Bombyx mori: one gene and its partner. The protein of the gene in region 1 interacts with the protein of each later gene in a biochemical or structural test. Links are inferred from orthologs where the notes say so. Each region holds a gene or a part of one and is shown in the gene's direction. Other genes may lie near its edges.

Region 1 (4,277 bases):
CATTTTTAATAAATAAATAAAAAAACGTCTCAATACCCGGATCTAAAGGAAATATTTACATACGAAGGCGCAATAAAAATGCGTTCAATTCTTAAGGGTAGGGCGCACCATTCATTCGTTTGACGACTTCATTTGGTCGCGCGAAGTGAACTCGCGATAATGCGCTATTGTTTACCCTCCGATAGTGCGTTGTCCACTGCATGCGCTACACAGCGCGAGACCAAGACCGCTATACACTAATCAGCCCCGCTCGGATGATAACCGTTCCGCGCTCGACGCGCTGTCCCTTTCGCTCTCGAACGGGCGCCTTAAGCAAGAGAGCAATAGAAACATCACTCGTAAAAACAGGTAGTAGAAGAAATAATAATCATCTTTACGACTTCTCACTCTATTCAGCACCTTGTTACGATACTGAACGCTCATTGTGGCACGGTCGACGAGTGGCTGTAAAATCTTTTCTTTACTCGCCCGTTTCACTAATTGTACGTTTATGAGTTTACGACTTTTGCGGCTTAACTTTTTCGTTCTATTCATTTTTGAGGCTTTTGTTGAGGCTCTTCAAAAGTTTTGTTACGCGGTCGTCCGAAGATACATAAATTGTTAAAAGAAAACATATAGTTTATAATAGGATTTGATGTTATTGAGTTCTCTCTTAAGTCATATAAATGTCAGTTATTAACCTAGGTATTCTGAAGTAGAGCAGCTAAAGTTCTAGTTTGTTTGACGAACGTTCGCCACGTGCTCGAGTGGGTGTGATAAGGAAAGGAAAAGAGAGCGTAACTGATAATATTTATAGTGATTAGCGAAAAGGGGACGGAACAATAGTCGTTGGGCTGCGATGGTAGCAGTGAGCGCGGGGCGGCGCGCGTGTCTCAGCCGCGCTCAGTACATTGCGTGAGCCGCGTCGCGCCGGTCGCACACGACACACAGCCGCGCGCTCCCGCCACACGCGACGGAAAACTTCGCTCGCGACACAAGCCTCCGGCCCATACACCACCACGATCACTTCTGATTTCATACAGTGGAGACGCGCTCTCGGCTGACGTCCTGAGACGAGCCGGCGCCGCAGACGAAACCGCTTAAAAAGTCGTAAAACCCGCGGCACGCGCTCCCGAGTCGTAAAATAATCGTAAAAAGTAAACACACGTCAACTGGCCTTTATCGCCGACGAAGCCCATTATGACGCTTTAGTGACGTTTAAGAGGCAATAAAATTAATAAAAATAAATTACGTTGTCCGTATTTGGTGTGACATTGGCGGAGGTCGCGTTATCACGGCGCGCGGGGCCGCGATGACATAAGTGTTCCCTGAGTGACGTTAGTGCCTGTGACTGGTCACGATGAACTCTTACTTCGAGCAGGGTGGTTTTTACGGGGCCCATGGAGTGCACCAGGGCGGCGGTGGTGGAGACCAGTACCGCGGCTTCCCTCTGGGCCTCACGTATGCACAGCCACACGCTTTGCACCAGCCTCGTCCTCAGGATTCACCGTACGACGCGTCTGTCGCGGCGGCCTGCAAGCTCTATGCTGGAGAGCAGCAATATCCTAAAGCAGATTGTTCAAAGCCAGGCGGTGAGCAGCAGAATGGCTATGGTGGGAAAGAAGCCTGGGGCTCAGGTCTGGGAGCACTAGTGAGGCCGGCAGCATGCACTCCTGAAGCTCGATACAGTGAGTCGTCAAGTCCTGGTAGAGCGCTTCCGTGGGGCAACCAGTGTGCACTTCCGGGATCAGCAGCATCAGCCGCGCAGCCAGTGCACCAGCAGCCTACTAACCACACTTTCTACCCTTGGATGGCCATAGCAGGTTAGTAAGTTAAAAAAAATTATCTCGATCACAACTCTATATAAATTGAATATGCAATTTCGAAAAGGGCACACCTCTGAAAATGTAAAATGTTCAGGAAATGAAAAAAAACTGATTATTTTCTAAAGCAGTGTAAAATTTAAAATATTAACTTTTGAAATATATTTTAAGTGTTAATTAGCAATTGAAAATTACGGGAATTATTATAAAATGGGTGTAGGTAAGCCTCAAAACTACATGTATATGAAAAAACGTATTTGACAAAATATGCGACATGTGCCCTTTTCGAAATTGCATATTCGATTGAAGTGTATTATTGCGATCGTAGGTGCAGTTTTTTTTTTGATAAAATTAATTGCCGAAGTCTCTACCTATTAATATTGTATATTACATATTTGTTTACAAATATCACTGAAATTTATGATTCTATATTTAAAAATATATTGCGTTTCCCATAAAAAACTCGTCAACATTTAATATACATAAGTGGAAATGAGAGGCGTAACAAAAATATGTCACGTCCGATACCCCGTAAAAATCACTAAAATGCTGCCATCCTGTTTGGCACACATAATCGGGCCACTTCAGAATCGTCCATTAATGTTTCCTAAGAGTCCAATACTAACCGGCAGGTAGCCGACAAATCAAGTGTCAATAAAAAGCACATAAAACGAACGACCCTCGTTAACACCTTATTAGTGAGACAGATTTGAGTACCATTAATAATTTTATTGCGGACAAAACTCAGGATCCTCCAAATTACTAATTTGTAACGATAAATTGATATCAGTGATTTGATCATAAAATCTTTGGTGTAGACTTCCTGAATGTTGATGGTTCGTAGCAACGGAACTGGTATATAAATTATAGAGCTATGGAACTGGATTATTTGAAATAAAGTTCTCGTGTCTTAAAATTTTTTTTGGAACAAAACTAACAAGGTTTGTGAATTAAAATACGATTTAATCTTGGACTGGACTATACGGAGATTTAGCAGAACATATTATACCTACTTTTTTTACCGGACGACAAAACACTAAAATATTTCGAGAGAATGTAAAATAAAGAGACAAATATGTTGTCGATATTTACTTGTGTTCTCTTTTCTGACCCATAACAATTTAAATTAATTTTATAAATACATTAATAAAGCTAAGAAATAAAATAAAATAAAAGTTATTTATTATTAAAAGTTGTATATTTATTTTATTACTATCTAAAAATAAATAAAACGTTTAACAATCCTTCAATACTTAACACATACTTTAAGATGAAATTTTTCAGGTTCAAAATTGATTGTGTAGGCATAAAGTAAAGCAAAAAGCGCTATTTTAGTGGCCCAACGAGGCAGGAGAGGTGCGCCCGCGCCGCCCGCCCGGGTCAATGGCCCGGTCTAGTTTTGGGCGCATTATTATTAACTTACTGCCACTGACCATTCGACAAATGACCATCCCATTAAGAGCGCTTCAATCTTCAAACATACGTTTCGGTAAACATTCAATTCATGCACTTAAAAGATAAAATAACGCTTTAAAAATGTTTTACAAAATATCTAATACGGCATATTAGTTGGTATAGATTAGAATTTAAGTCTTATAAGAATCGATTCTCTCTCATTCGTAGTAGTTTTTCTGGAAAAGAAGTCCTATTCGAATTTCGATTGAATCGATTAGTTCACCTGGGCCGGCGACGAGTAATTAATGCTACGCGTGTGGTCCCGCCTCGTCATAATTCATGCGACTTGATAAAAATTAAGTAACAGGGCCTAAAAAATAACAAAATAAAATGAGAAGTCGAACCGTCGGCTATAATTCACTGTGGGTTCACGCAACACAGGCCGCGAAACAATACAAGGACGCTTGTTGGACGTGGCATGTATGAAAAGTTCGGGCTTGTCCATGAACGGTCCCTGCTGTTCATTTGGACAGTTTGCTAATTTGTAATACCTGTAAAGTAAACCTTTTTTGGTATAAATACCTAAAACATAGGTAATTTGGTATAAATTCCTATAAATATAGAAAGAAAAAAAAATTGTGGAGCTGTAAATGTAACTAATTTAGTGAAGCAAACGATAAATACGGTATAAGTTGAAGCTCGAAATTGCAATCACATGCTCCCGATCTTACTGCTATATAATTGAGGACTTAAATTACAGGGCCGTGGACTTCTTTTTTTTAAATTTGTTACAAGCGGTTTTTAAATGGAACAAAATAAAAACAAGAAAAATTATTTGGTGGAATAATTTTCATTTTCAATCATACGACAATTATTATGACCCTTCAAACAGCGACTTGAATCTTTCTCTTCTTACTTGGTGCACATTCGTTCTGTAGAGGCTTTTACACATTCCGATTCTTCAAAACTTGATATTGAAAAATATCAATTACATATAGCAGATTATTTTACCTTATTACTGTACAAAAACAGAAATACTGTCAAAATTCCTAGTACATATTTAACCCACATATAGAGAAA
Region 2 (4,345 bases), on another chromosome or scaffold:
ATGTAAGGTTACAGATTTCGAATATTGGAATTATTTTAAATGTTTAAAACAAATAATTCTCTTCTTGTCAGTGAAGAAAATGACTTCTCATCTAGACACGGACAGAGCAACATCTAAGAGTTTTATAAAAATAAAATATTATAATGGCGTAATAGTGTACTAAGTATTTGCAATATGTGTTTTGTAAATGGCCCCTCACCTACAGAACCCAGTCCCCCTCAAATTTAACAGTCCAACACCGTCAGTTCCATAATTACTCATTGTCCCTCTTAAAAGAGGAAAAACAGGTGACCAGTGCAAAGTATCTTACAATATATATAGGAGTCTCATCATGCTTGCAGATGTTTAATGACCAACCAGGAACTCGAAATCGTAGATTGGAATTGCTAAAAAAAATTATAGCTGCAATGTTCAATTATTTTGTACGGCAGCAATAGGCGGGGTGGTGATAACTACCCGTGTGGACTCATTAGAGGTTTTACCTCGAGTAAGCAGTTAAACACATTAAAACATTTGTACCAAATTTTATTTTACTTTATTTTATTTTTAACTCTCGATGTCTCGTACAGTATGACAATTCTTGTGAATTTGAAACCATATCAAACGCGATAAAAAATAGTTTAATTTAATCGACATTTTAGAATTCGTCGAAGCCCCTTCTTTTAAAAGCAAACATTTATTCCTAGTTAATAGCCATGTTATTAAGTTATTAAAACAAGACAGCCGTTTAATATTAAAAGTACCTACCTAATTAAAATAAACACGTCCTTTCTTAATATCACTACGGGTAAACAAAGCCATTACATCATAAAACAGGAGGGTGCAGTCAATTTGATTGATGACTGATATGAATTTATATTTTTATTTGCTTTGCAAATGTGACAAGTGCTTCAAATAATCCTTCACCGGTTAGTGATTAACCACCTGTTTTATAAGTCGTGATGTGATCATGCACAAACCATTTGAGACACGGGCCTTTTTCGAACGACAGGTACAAATTAGCTTATTAGTTACTATGAGAAGTAGCTAACCATGGAAACCTCTCATATTCTGTAAGCACTTCTCAATATTAAGTGTATAATCTATGTTCTGCATAGTCCATAGATTAAACGTACTTTATGGTAGGTTATGGTTTAAGTTTTCAACTCTTATGTTGGCAGTGAGATCTGTGAGATAGCAGCTTACGCTAGACATTAATCTCAGCGGTTGTCTCTTTCTCGCTTTAATTTACTCTGTTCATAGTGATGAGATTGAGCGTGATAGGAACAGTTTTAACGTATAGTTTAATTGTTTGTTTTCTTTTTCCAGTGTGAAACATTTGATTACATTTGACAGCACAAGTACAAACTGGCACAAAGGGAGGCGGCCATTTTATAGTTGGTATTCAACGAGTGGAGTTTCGTTCTTCACGTTTACTTTGAATTTTGGTTTACCAATTGAAATTGAAAATCACGTACAAAATAAGTATACGTAATTAGAATAAGACATTAAAGTTATTTATGTATTGACTGTCAAGACCAGTTAGCAATGGACGATCCGAACCGGATGATGGCGCATAGCGGCGGAATGATGGGACCGCAGGGTTATGGGCTGCCTGGAGGAGAAGGCGCACCAGCCTCTGAAGGAGGCGAAGCTCGCAAGCAGGACATTGGCGAAATTTTACAACAAATAATGAACATTACAGATCAAAGCTTAGATGAAGCGCAGGCGAGAAAACACACGCTGAACTGCCATAGAATGAAGCCTGCTCTGTTTTCAGTACTCTGTGAAATTAAAGAAAAGACAGGTATTTATTGTTTTATCTCATCGATGGAGATGTTACAGATATAAATATTATATAAACATTAATAACATAAACATTTGATGTTAAACATAAACAATTTCTACAAGTTACAGAAGTTTGCCTTAAACAAGGGACATGTAACAACATAAAAGATAAAATCAGATACAAAAGTCCAAAACAAAAAATTGTTAATTATGAAGATTAAATTTTCATTTGAATCACGATTCCTATATATTTTGTAACTCTTACATCAAATAAACTTCCTATAATCCGCAGTGCTATCTCTGAGAAACACTCAAGAGGAGGAGCCACCTGATCCCCAGCTGATGAGGCTTGACAATATGTTGATTGCGGAGGGTGTAGCTGGACCAGAGAAAGGTGGAGGTGCTGGTGCTGCCGCCTCGGCATCTGCTGCGGCCGGTGAATGGGGTAAATTGAAATTGATTACATTTAAAAATTTCCAGTTGAAGTTCTTACAAAGGAATAGAAAAAAAATCATATATTAGTATTTATCAATGAACCCGTGTATAAATTTGAATGCTCTTTTTATATGATAGTTTTCCAGTCACCACATTTATTAACAATAGTACATTTGAAAGTTATCTTACCAATGAGTAATTTAGTTTAGATGTACTGAAAAAGCTCAAGGGTCTGTAGATATTCTTATCACAGTGAAAAGTGGTGAAAAGTGGTTTTAAAAAAGTAAATGTTCATGCATTACAATTATTTTGCCAAAAGACCTGTAAACTTAAATTAAAACTAGACTATAGATTAGATTTGGAAATATTTCATCATTTGATAATTTTTCAAGTAGTTCTAAAATCATATAATAATTAGGAAACCTTTTTGTCTTAATATTTACTAATAGTCTATATGTTTCTATGTTATGTCTAACTTATATTTATTAGTTAATTGCCTACCTTGTGTTATGGATAGGTAAGCATCACAGTCACGTAGAGAATATATATAGTTCATATAAAAATATTAATGGCATAATCATGTAGTCTGATCCATATAAATGGATATTTGGGTTAAATCATAAATGACTTCAAACTAGAATTCCCCTTTTGCAGGAGGAGTAGAGTTAATATGGCTTTCTAAATTTAAGTCTGTAATATATATTAGATACTCAAACAAACCTATTTGTCAACATTATTGGCCCAATGGGGGATTCCAACCAACAAAATTCAGCCTAACAGTCAGGGGCAACCAAGTCAAAGTTTTGATGATCAGTATTAGAATTGGCTGACATTGTAGAATTTTTCAAACATACAGATAAATGTCATACACTTCTAAAAATTTGGATATAAAAACCTTTTTTATTATTATTAAATACTAGCATTTCACTCTAATAACTTTTGATTGAATTGGTATTCAAGGAATGTCAGATTAAAGTGCAGTAAAAATACTAATTGCTTGTATAAATAGATAGAATAGAATTAAAAAAAAAAAAAAATTGTAAAGTAATGTCGTGCGGCAACTAAGTGACTGTTACTCAAGCAGATAATGCCATCGAGCACTCGGACTACCGTGCAAAACTGGCGCAGATACGGCAGATCTATCATCAGGAGCTCGACAAGTACGAGAATGCCTGCAATGAGTTCACTACACACGTCATGAATTTGCTAAGAGAGCAAAGTCGCACCAGACCTATCACCCCTAAGGTATTTTGAACAAAATTATATAAGCTGTCTTGTAATTAATAATAAGTACAGTTTTCAATAATAATAATCGCTACATAGTACAAAACAAAGTTGCTTTCTCTGTCCCTATATCTGTATGTATGCTTAAATCTTTAAAACTACACAACAGATTTTGAGGCCGTTTTTTTAATAGATAGAGTGATTGAAGAGGAAGGTTTATATTTATAATAACATCCATTACATAGTGGAGAAATTAATAATAAATTACAGTTTCCGACGCGAAGCGAGGGCGGGTTGTTAGTAATATATAAATTACTTTCTAACTTATACCTGGCCGATTGGTTGCGCTGGTTTAAAACTGTTAGTTTTAAGTTTCGAAAAATAGCAACATTTTAATTTGGTTTTGCAAATCCTGTCCCATCCCTCTCCGGCACTTTTACCTACGGATGCGTGCGAGCGAGATCGTGTGGTGACATCAAAGACGAAAAAATATGGCTGAACAACCGCGCGCGCGCTTCGTGTCTTTGTTATGTTAAATACGTAAATAAGTGAAATCGTTGGTGTTTCTCATCGCGGAGTGGTACGAGTCTGCAGCAAGGACTACATAAAGGTATTGTGCATCCTTCCTTTAACGCAGAACTGCCACTTCTTATCGTTTCTTCCCGCAGTCTGTGTCCTTCATTTGCAACGACCAAATTTCAAATATTTCGTAGTTTGCTTATCTCGCGTCTACATTTTTTGGTCCAAACGAGCCGGATTCGTATTAAATCAGCGCCAACCATTGCCTAGGTTACCTAATTTACCTAATATCATTAGAACCGCGTACCAAGTAGGTACTTCGAAAAAATATCGCTTTTCCTGCTTTCGTCTTAAATATCGTTTTCGTTCACATTATAATCACTTATTTACAATATCAAAT

Evidence for each region. The genes of interacting proteins can lie anywhere in the genome.
Region 2: the proteins of Ubx (region 1) and homeobox protein extradenticle are reported together in a solved structure, tested with the Drosophila melanogaster proteins (2 studies listed by BioGRID). The link is inferred for Bombyx mori from reciprocal best matches to the Drosophila melanogaster genes Ubx and exd.

Annotation. Positions count from the first base shown.
Region 1 is NC_085112.1:6,103,844-6,108,120, reverse strand, and holds the start of Ubx (ultrabithorax), read left to right. Parts: upstream 1-1,339; coding exon 1,340-1,802; intron 1,803-4,277. UniProt on the Drosophila melanogaster protein: Sequence-specific transcription factor which is part of a developmental regulatory system that provides cells with specific positional identities on the anterior-posterior axis. Binds the consensus region 5'-TTAAT[GT][GA]-3'.
Region 2 is NC_085121.1:1,663,121-1,667,465, reverse strand, and holds the start of homeobox protein extradenticle, read left to right. Parts: upstream 1-1,527; coding exon 1,528-1,786; intron 1,787-2,059; coding exon 2,060-2,212; intron 2,213-3,283; coding exon of another isoform or gene 3,284-3,286; coding exon 3,287-3,447; intron 3,448-4,345. UniProt on the Drosophila melanogaster protein: Transcription factor which acts with the selector homeodomain proteins altering the regulation of downstream target genes such as wingless (wg), teashirt (tsh) and decapentaplegic (dpp), thus affecting segmental identity.